Saccharomyces cerevisiae S288C: one gene and its partners. Changing the gene in region 3 together with the main gene of any one other region gives a genetic interaction. Each region holds a gene or a part of one and is shown on either strand. Other genes may lie near its edges.

The links.
Region 1: mutations in YNR071C (region 3) and OSW7 together harm fitness more than expected from each alone (negative genetic interaction), as found in Saccharomyces cerevisiae (one large-scale study listed by BioGRID).
Region 2: mutations in YNR071C (region 3) and ILT1 together harm fitness more than expected from each alone (negative genetic interaction), as found in Saccharomyces cerevisiae (one large-scale study listed by BioGRID).

The regions. Positions count from the first base shown.
Region 1 is NC_001138.5:231,360-235,440, reverse strand, and holds OSW7 (Osw7p), read left to right. Parts: upstream 1-1,896; coding exon 1,897-3,429; downstream 3,430-4,081. Other genes in the region: SAP155 (Sap155p), read right to left, coding at 1-1,199; IRC5 (putative ATPase), read right to left, coding at 3,500-4,081. UniProt on the Saccharomyces cerevisiae protein: Involved in spore wall assembly.
Region 2 is NC_001136.10:624,537-627,846, forward strand, and holds ILT1 (Ilt1p), read right to left. Parts: upstream 1,463-3,310; coding exon 530-1,462; downstream 1-529. Other genes in the region: VTC5 (Vtc5p), read left to right, coding at 1-185; RLI1 (Fe-S cluster-binding ribosome biosynthesis protein), read right to left, coding at 2,172-3,310.
Region 3 is NC_001146.8:769,788-773,347, reverse strand, and holds YNR071C (aldose 1-epimerase superfamily protein), read left to right. Parts: upstream 1-1,879; coding exon 1,880-2,908; downstream 2,909-3,560. Other genes in the region: hexose transporter HXT17, read right to left, coding at 1-691.

The DNA of each region.
Region 1 (4,081 bases), on a different chromosome or scaffold from region 3:
CATTTGCTGATCAAGTTTTGATCATATACTAATTCAATTATTCCCGTGGGTGATTCAATCTTATCTGTGGATATTATTTTCAAGAAAAAATCCATCAATAGGGAAATATCAACATGCTTTAACATATCATCAACAAAGCTTCTCTCCGTTCGAATAAAATTTAAATATTGATCCTGCCTGGTTAACAACAGATTTTGGTTAATCTTTAAGAATATGGGTACCAAGGGAGAGTTTTCAGAATTGAAATTTGGCTGGTTGATGATAGACCAAATCTTGTTTAAGTATGATTGGTTTTTAACTAATGACTCGCTAATCAACCATATGTCTAAGGAAAAGATTTCAGATATTATGGTGGCCTTTGTCAAATAAGCAGATTCATCGTCCTCATTCGCATCGTCGTCGTCGTCATTGTTGTTGATATCATCGTTACCAAACGAGGAGCTTCCGCGTTTTCGTCTCTTCTTGTTATTGCTGTTATTATCGTCCTCTTTCTCCTCTTCTTGCTCCGTATCAGATTCCACATAAACGTCCTCTTGTGAGCTATCATCAAGCTGTTGCTGTTCTTGATAATCTATCAGGTTATTCAAATCCACTGTGGTGGCGGTTTTAATCTTCGAGATACATTCCATCAGTTGGTCGACCAGATATTCCATATTATTCACTTTCTTATTAGTTTTCTTATCAAAGAAAAATCCAAAGCAAATGAAGTCAAGTAGCGTCTTGTTTTGTCTCGATAATTCGTTCAGTAGCTCTGTCTCTACAAGCATTCTTTCAATAAAAGAGTTATCCAAATTCTTTGTGGTGACCATCATGGGAGCAGTAGCATTGCTGATATCCTCCTCATCTAAATCAGTTTTAGAAGTTGACCCAGAAGAAAAAGATGTAGTGGAAGATTCGCTAGAGTTCATGCTCCGTTCCTCTTCCTCTTTCTCATACCGTTCTTGCTGATCATCCTTCTCAAATCGACTCTTCTGATCTCCACGTGCCGTTTTCACTTCATCACCATGACTATACTCCTCCGGAATAGAATCTAGGGAGTCACTTGTACCTCGTTCCTGAACGTTGTTGAAAATAGCGGGAATGGCTTTACCAACGCTTGGGTTAATCCTTTCCAGTTCGTGTAGCACATGAAAATATTCATCTAGGATCTTATTAATATTAGAGTGATTAAGATTCTGTCCAAATGGCCAAAACGACATCTTTACTCTGGCTTGTTGTTTTCGTCTTTTTTTTCTTTTCTTTTGTAAAAACTGCTGCTCCAAAAATCAATAGAATGGGAACGGCAGAGACTATAGTCTAGGGAAGTAACGCTTGTGTCTTAATCGTGTTGAAATAAAATCAAAATGAAATAAAATCAAAATAATAAAAAAAGAGGAGGAAAAAAGGGGATAGTCACTCAAACCCACTATCTAGCTTTAGTCTCTCAGTCTTTTAACCGCTACTTGGAGAAAAAATACTGAATCCAATGGTCAAATAAGGCCTTTCTTCTAGTTGCTTTGGAGCGTATGATACCACGATACTGTTGGTTTTGGTTCTAATTGGCCACTTAAAATTATTTTTCTTTCTTTTTTTCTAGAGGAAGGGATAACCCTACTAAGACCTATTCTATAATTACCAGCCCTATAGTTGTCTTTCATTTTTTAGATAAATGCCCTCTTTAAAAATTAAATTAACCCTACTCATTTTGTTGTCATTTCGGCCCTTTTAAGCCACAATACAGGTATCATTTAACAGGAATTACATAATAGTACTTTAGAAGAGACTTGTATGGCATCGAGGCTTCCTTTTTGACTATTGGAAGATAGCATTTTTTTGGGTGTTGCTACTATCATATTTCTGTTACTGATTGACCTTTTCTTAACTAAGAAAAAGGTGGTTAGTTCTTTACTAAAAATCATGAAGGCCGTTTTCAAAGTAACGACTGCTTTGCTGGCTTGCGTGTTTATTGCAAGGTATCTGGTCTGTCAGCAAAATGGTCTGGGAAGCTTTGCCACAGATTTACAGCCCATTTGCCGGCATACTGAATTTTCAGTTGGCTCACTATTCGATTCTAAATTGGTTGAAGGTTCAGCGGTTTCTGACTATTTAGTTGGAAAGTACTCACAATCGATAAAACCACTGATTGAAAGATACCCCAACTCATCCTTGAAGAGAATTATGGGATATTTTTACCGCTTTTGGTACAATATTTTCTCTTTTCTAAGGCTAAATGAGCTCTGCTGTTCGCTACATTCCAAGTTGGGACCTTTATTAAATCATCTAAGGATTGCCTGGTACTATTTAAAGCCATATACAGACAATGTGAAGAATGTACTAGAGAATCCATTTAACTCCTCTACGGATTGGATGAAATACGGCTCCTTTAGCGCTGATGGCACGCTCACCAAACCCATTTTTGAGACAGACTCGGAAACAGAGGATTATGAGGATGATGAGAATGAAAATGAGGATGAGGATGAAGATGAGGATGAGGATGATGTCGGAATTGAGGATGAAAATAAAGAATACGAGTTCGATGGAGTACAGGATGGCCACGGGAACTCACAACTCGTCACTGCTGCTATTTTGCAGGATTTGTCAAAGATTATCATTGGTTCCAATAGCCATGCAGAATTGGAAACTTACGAGGCAGAATCATTAAAAATGGAATATGAAGCATGGATTAAGGCTATAGATTCGAAAATACACAGTGCGATGGCACTTTTGGATTCAGAGATACAGTCTGTGTTCGAGGCCGAGGTGCAAAATAAATCTATAGAAATCACTAGGAATCTTGATGACCTTAACACTACCGTTAATGAGCAATTAGTGTTTCTAGATTCAAAAATCAAAGATATTAATTGTACCTCTAAATTCGATCCTGTGCAAAATAAAATAAAGTATTTTGATGAATCGGGTCAAGTTGAACTGGAAGCTTACATTACCAAATCATCTATCACATCGATACTGAAGAATTATAAAATACATTTGTTAGACTTTGAAAAATCACTGTTTCATTCATTAGATTCTTTTCTTACCGAAATGGCTAAACTGGCAGAATCGATTCGTCTTGAAAACGTCGAAGTGTACGAAGAGTGGGGCGATGTAATGATAAGTCAATGGTCGCAAAGAATGGCATATATGGACGTCAGAGGTCTCCATTTGGAAGATCAATACGATCCTGCCTATATAGAAGAGAATCATTCCAACTGGCTCCGTTTCATGGAATTGAAAAAGAAAGTTATTTCTGAGAGGAACCGTCTGGTAAAACATGATCTGGATATGACTTTGATACTGGAATGGATTACTAAACTAAAAGCTGATTTCCAGAACACAAAAAATAATATTCAAGATACCTTTCTGCAACGAATGAATACTGCGGATACTTTATTCAAAAACCGTGAACTAAAGGAACAACTAGAGGAAGAATTTGTACGGCAAGAACATTGATCAATATATAGGTATGTATATGTACATATATACAAACATTTAATAAAAACAATATTGTATGATAACCAAGTTAAAGACCGGAGGTTGTTTCAAATAGCTTGACGTGCGGCAGATCTACGACTCTGTTGGCCTTGTACGCTTCAAGAGATCTGTTGGTCAATTCTTCAACCTCCTTATCAGTCAGTTGGCCCTCAGTAGCCTTATTTTCTTTCTGTCCCCCATTTTCAAAGCCTATATTGGATTCATCGCTCATTAAAAGCATAGATAACTCCTGGACTAAGTCCTTATTAGTGACATTAACACCCGCTTTGTTTGCCTTCAAAAAAGAACCTTCATTTAACGCCAATTTTTTCAGGTTATTGAATTTTCCCATCTGGATAACCATTCTTTCCAAATTTCGCTTATTGGCCGCTCTGGTCAATATAACATGTTCAATGGTGTTATCACAACACAACCTATATACTATAACCGGTGATTCTTGGCCAATACGGTGACACCTGTCCATGGCTTGTAAATCCACCTGTGGATTCCAATCACTATCAAACAAGACAACTGTATCTGCCCCGACTAGATTAATACCCAGTCCTGCCGCCCTTGTGGACAATAGGAAAATGTTATGCTTATCTTTCGAGCTATTAAACTTCTCGAGTTG
Region 2 (3,310 bases), on a different chromosome or scaffold from region 3:
AAAATATTCTCATAGCCATTATTATCATTTCCTTACTGGTTTCCCTTATTTTGATCTGTGCGTGCCTGTTGTTGTTATTTAGTCGGTTCACTTTGGCGCCAATCTGGCATTATGTTGGTTGCTTCACAATGTTTTTCTCAGTTACTGGAACAGTGTGCTATGGTATGATTGAAATTTTCTTTTAATTATTTTGGACGATAAAAGTTTTTCATGTGTACAGTCTATATAAAATATGCATATCATGTGGTTACATAAGAAGAATGTTAATCTTGTTTGGAGATTTTGTTTTTGGAAACTTCGCCATTGCGAAGGGTGTTGCAAACTGAATTTCTGTTTAAGTTTTTAATTAATAATCCTTATTTTGATCTTTTCTGATGGCCGTGTTTGAACGCATAGTATTGTGAATATAAGCGAAGTGAAAACCTTTACACCTGCGGCAGATGCCATATTACTGCGCTAGTGGTGAATATTATTAAGCGTGCTATCAAAAAGAGATGAAAACGTGCTAACTAAAAAGGACTCAGATTCGTTACACACTTAGCCTCGAATAACGATCAGGATCTGTTCTAACCACAACTCCATGGACAGCATGCAATGTTTGGGCTCTTGATAACGTCCCCCCATCAGTACTATCGTATATATTAAAATCGTCTGCAAAGCTCGAAGCATCGTCGGGGATTGAACAGTTATCCAGGTTATAGTTAGTAACATTTCGGTCACTCTTGCTAATATCTTGTTCGATTTTTTCATCGGGTTCTTCCTTTTGAGCTTGGCCACTTTCTTCGTCAAAAGTATTGCCTTTAGCTAGGAATCTAAACCTACACCACCATATGAAATGAGACGCGAAAATTCCTAACTCCATTCCAGCAACTATTGAGTATAATATAATACCCATAATATCCATATTACCTAGGATAACACTGATGATAGATAGCCAAGCACCTAATGAATCGATGAATAAGAAGGCAAAGTTGATGCCAATAACACGACCTTTCCTTTTGGCTAGTTCAAAGTAAGGTGGAAGCAGTCCGACAGCTAACAAAACAGATGCAGAAATACCAAAAATCAGATCGGGCCATTTAACACCCTTCTCGTAAAGGGGCCTCAGCCATAATATAAAGCCAACTTCCATGCCAACATCAGCCGCAATAATAGCAGCTACAATCATTACTATTTTGGATCTCGCCATACTGATTGGTGGATAATAACACGATTGGACGAAACTTATAGAACAGAAGAACATAAAAAGGTGTGGTTGAACTTGTAAAATGACATTACCTTTACTAACACAGAAATATATGGCAAATGGAATTCCGGAAACAACCCAGAGGAACATCATCAGTGGTGGCAGCCCCGTACAGTCCTTTTTTTTCCAATTATATATTATTTGCGGAATTAGCTGGACACACCAGCAAACTGTTGCTATAGTAGCTAAAGCGGTAGCAGCCTTTTCAGAGATCATGAATACCTTATTCTTAAATCTATGTTATGTTATAGTATTCCACAGTTTATATTTCAGCGGTTAATTTGAAAATAGAGATCAGCGGAAAGTAGAAGGCACCAGAAGGAAAGCATTATTTATATGAGTTTCGTTTGGTACGAGAAGTGTGATACAGAGGTAATCTACCTATCTAGTCATTGAAAAATGCTATCAAGAAACGGCGTTCTCATATTACCCGAAGCACCTTATCTGGCGCTCACACCGCGGAAATAATTGGGTGATATTTTAGACAAACGGACTTTAATGTCATGCTAAGATAAACGTTCAGTAATGCAGCAAATGCTTATCATGACGACTCGTTTACAAGGTAAATTCGATTACGAAGAAGGTGCGGACAAAATAACGATTAATTAAAATACAATAGGTATATAAAATAAATAGAGAATAAATATAGTGTAGTTGCTTTACAGAAAAATGAAATAAACTGGAGTACGGATCACCGAAGAGGAGGTTGTTCACTTTCAGGTTATGATGTAATGAAGGTGGGAAGTTAGAAATGTATTAGTTGGCGTATATCTAGAAATAAACAACCCGATGCTTGGGAAGGAACTCAATGTAATATAATACTCATTTTGTTTTGCAAAAACATTATAACTCTTAATTATTTCTCCACATTTCTAAACCCAAAAATAAAACAATCGTCCTCTTGGTTCTCCGAATCCCAAGATGCTTAAATACCGGTGTTATCCAAGAAAAAGTAGTTTCCTGATGATTTTTGTTCTTTATCCATTTGGGAATCTAGCTTATTAATTCTTGGTCTGAAGGAGTTTGGATCCCTTCTGAAGGTGACATTCAAATTCTTCAAAAATCTGTTACAACCAGTCAACAAAGATTCAGGGGCTCTTGCGTGAGCATTCTTGGAAGGAATACCTTCAAAAACAATGACCTTATCAGCAAGATAAGTAGCCATGATGAAATCGTGCTCGACAATAAACGCAGTTTTCTTATTATGTAAGATGAATCTTCTGATAACTTTAGAACAGATAATACGTTGTTCGGAATCTAAGTAGGCAGATGGCTCATCAATCAAGTATATGTCTGCTGGGATACCCAATGCCAAGACGATGGCGACTCTTTGTAATTCACCACCAGACAAATGTTGGACTTCTTGATCAATAATATCGTCAATCCTTAAAGGTTTAACGACATCAGTCTGAAACTGTGGATTTAGGAATTGTCCTCTAATTTTCTTGAAAAACAATTGTCTGACAGTACCTGGGAACTTTGGTGCAATTTTTTGTGGTTTCATAGAAACATTCAATTTTGGAATATCTTGTCCTTCATCTGGCTTCAAAGCACCAGCTAGTAATTTGATCAAAGTGGTCTTACCGGTACCGTTTTCACCCATCATAACAAGGATTTCGGAATCGGAGAATTCACCTTCTTCAACATTCAAAACAAAATCACCTTGAGTTTTCTTCAAACTTGGGTAAGAGAAGGCGCGACTAGCAGAGTCATTCTGCAAGTCTTCGGTAGCATCAGCTATTCTAAATTGTAAAGCTTCAGTTCTGAATCTCAGGTTTTCAGCAGGAATATGACCGTCCAAGAATATGTTGATACCTTCTCTGACAGAGGCTGGTAATGTAACAACACCGTAAACAGATGGAACACCATATATGATACAAACGAAATCGGAAAGATAATCCAAAACTGACAAATCGTGCTCAACACAAATAACGTATTTAGTTGGAGCTAGTAAAGATCTAATAATTTGAGCGGCATTCAAACGTTGCTTAACATCCAAATAAGATGAAGGTTCATCGAACATATAAACATCAGCCTCTTGAACACATGACATACCAATGGCAA
Region 3 (3,560 bases):
GGACTCTCCATTGTGCAGTGTTATCGTATTTTCTCGTACCATAAACGCTACAATAACCCAAGAAAATACCGAAGGTCATGTTAAGTTGGTACAATGAGACAAGTCCACCTCTCAAATCTGTAGGAGCTATTTCAGACAAAAGCATTGGACACAACACCGAACAGCCACCAGCACCAAGACCATAGATAATCTTACCAACGAAGTATTGGTACCATTTGTGATTCGAACTGATCTGAATAATTGCACCAACCATATATACCAACACCACGATTACAATTGCCAGCCTTCTACCTAAAGTATCAGCAAGACGGGCAAAAATAAGACCACCTATGGCACATCCAATACTGAACATAGCCACAAGAAGACCCATACGCACGTTGCTCAAATAATATTCACCAGTGCTATGCTTGTAAGAACCGAAGTTCATTTTAAAGTTGTCCATGTTAATGAAACCTGCTGTGATACCACTATCCCAACCAGGCAGGAAACCCCCGAAGGATATTGGATAACACAATAAGTAAATGACAAGATAACCTATGAGCCCTCTTTTTGGTGGCTCAACGTTATCCCCGTTTATGACTTCGTTGTCATCAAATCCATCTGACCACTCTTTTTCCACGGGTGGTGCGACGTGAATATCAGCATCAGGACCATCCTGAATATCTCTATCACTTTCAGTGGATGATTGCATTTTATTAATTTTTCTTTTCTTTTCTTTTTTTTTTTTTTTTTTTTGATTTATCAAATGAGAAAGAATTTACACAACACTTGCACAACGAAAGAAAAATATCACACCTAAACTTATCGCTTTATATATCTCGTTCACCATATTATCCTGTGATTAAGGAGGGTGTTATGGCAGCAATGCTATCCTACCACTTGAACGATAAAATTCTGTGCCAAGGAGGTTTCACCGTTCGTATACACTTATCTCAATTGATACTGCTTGCCGCCTTCTTTTGAATAGATTCCGTGCTATTTTGCCTGTTTTTAGACGAGGATACTAATATTATATTATCTAATATTATCCTCGAACGTTTACGTCATCATTTGGGATACTATTCCACATTCTAGGTTGCTAACGGTCTTTGCACAGTCAAGTCATCCCACGCATTTGTGCCTATGTGCCTATATGTGCATTATTCTTAATACCCCGCCACTCTATGCACAAAAATGCATACCCCACCTCCACCTTCCTATTTTGTGCATTGACTATTTACTCCGAAACGAACCCTTGAAGTTAAAATAATTAAACTTTTTGGCTGCAAACCAGTGACGTCAGATATATTTTATAATAACCCCAGGGAGGCAAAAGCTTCTTTCTCGGCAAGGAATGAAGATGTGAAAAATTCGTCAAATAATAGCCGGGCTGGTTACAGCAAGGGGCGGACTTAAGAAATAAGAACGGAGATATAGAAAAAAACTCTAACGAAACATAATCACGCAATCCCATTGGAATAGTTTAGGATTCTTGAAAAAGAAAAGCCCCCCACAGTACGTCGTATTTCATTTACATCTGCAATACCCCCACTATAATTACTTCTGACAACATTTAGAATAAAGGTGTTGAAATTTTTTCTTTTCTTGTTTATTACGTTGCCACTGAATAGCCTACGAACCACAAGGAAGTGAACAGGAGCCTTTGGCAGCTTAGCTCATTGAGTGGTATGATGAAATAAACTTCCTACCCCGTGTTATTAAGATCAGTTAAAATATTGTGGGGGTGTCGTAATATGTAATAGACATGTGATACATTTTTATGTACACTCTATACTTTCAGCATATAAATACAGAGATAAGTTGAAGTTTGATAGCTCAATTGATCAGTTTGTATGATAAGCAGTGAAAAAAAAAATCAAAACAGATAACAAACAGCGAAATGTCAAATAGTAACGGTGATAATAAGTATGGTGTCATTACAATTGGTGATGAGAAAAAGTTCCAAGCTACCATTGCGCCACTTGGTGCAACTTTGGTAGACCTGAAGGTAAACGGCCAATCAGTCGTTCAAGGTTATTCAAACGTACAAGACTATTTAACAGATGGTAACATGATGGGCGCTACAGTTGGTCGTTATGCCAACCGTATCGCCAAGGGTGTTTTCAGCCTGGATGATGGTCCTCACAAGTTAACTGTTAACAATTGTGGTAACACAAATCACAGCAGTATCAGTTCCTTAAATCTTAAGCAGTACAAGGCGTCCCCTGTTGAGAATCCTTCCAAGGGCGTTTACGTTGTTGAATTTAAATTGTTGGATGATCACACACAGCCCAACCCTAACGAGTTTCCAGGTGACTTGGAAGTCACAGTGAAGTACACTTTGAATGTTGCAGAAATGACTTTAGACATGGAATACCAAGCACAGTTAGTTCGTGGTGATGCTACTCCAATTAATATGACCAACCACTCGTATTTTAACTTGAACAAAGTCAAGAGTGAGAAGTCCATTCGTGGTACAGAAGTTAAGGTCTGCTCGAACAAATCGCTTGAAGTTACAGAGGGGGCATTGCTTCCAACTGGTAAGATCATTGAAAGGAACATTGCTACTTTTGATTCAACTAAGCCCACCGTTTTGCATGAAGATACTCCGGTCTTTGATTGCACTTTCATTATTGACGCTAACAAGGATTTGAAGACTACAGATTCTGTGAGTGTCAACAAATTGGTTCCTGTTTTTAAGGCCTATCATCCCGAATCTCACATCAAATTTGAGGTTTCGACGACAGAACCAACCGTTCATTTGTACACCGGTGATAATTTATGTGGCAAATTTGTGCCAAGGTCTGGATTTGCCGTTCAGCAAGGTAGATACGTTGATGCTATCAACCGTGATGAGTGGAGAGGTTGTGTTCTTCTGAAGCGCGGCGAGGTATACACTTCAAAGACTCAGTACAAATTCGATATTTAGGTGAGGCTGAAGCTTTTTACGTTTGTTACGTTTCTTCACTTGCTTGTAGATAAAACCTTTATAATGATATATGATCTAGATTAAACTCAACGTTTGTACGTTTAAACCTAAAAGTTTTTGGACCTGTCCCAAAATAAATATTATCACAAGTGGTAGTACTAAATTGAGCGTAACAGGCGGACTCTGTAGGCTTTTTGTGAGTTTGGGGTCTGAATATTTTTTACTCTTAAAAAAGAATACAGAACTTACTAAAAAAAATCCGTACTAAAAAGGTAGAAACAAGAAATGGTTTATTTGAAAAAAATACTTTACGTCCCAGCCTCACTAAAATTGAGCAGGAAACCGTATATCAAAACTATCTACCAAGAGAGTTCTGGTAAAAACATTTATATGAATAAAGATTAAATTATGCCTATTTTTTTCCTAGCAGTACATTCACTATGTTTCTATATTTAACGCTTTGTCGTTATCCCGGATAAAATTCTTCAGGTTATTTGCAGACGTTTGTCACATTATTTTTTCATTGACAAAATTTCACGAACTCTAGTAATGTTCAAATTCAAATGTCATGCAAGGCCCCTATGAACATTATTACGCTGTTTAACCAGCGGATAATAATTAGATCGCGTTCGTCGTAAATATAAAACATACG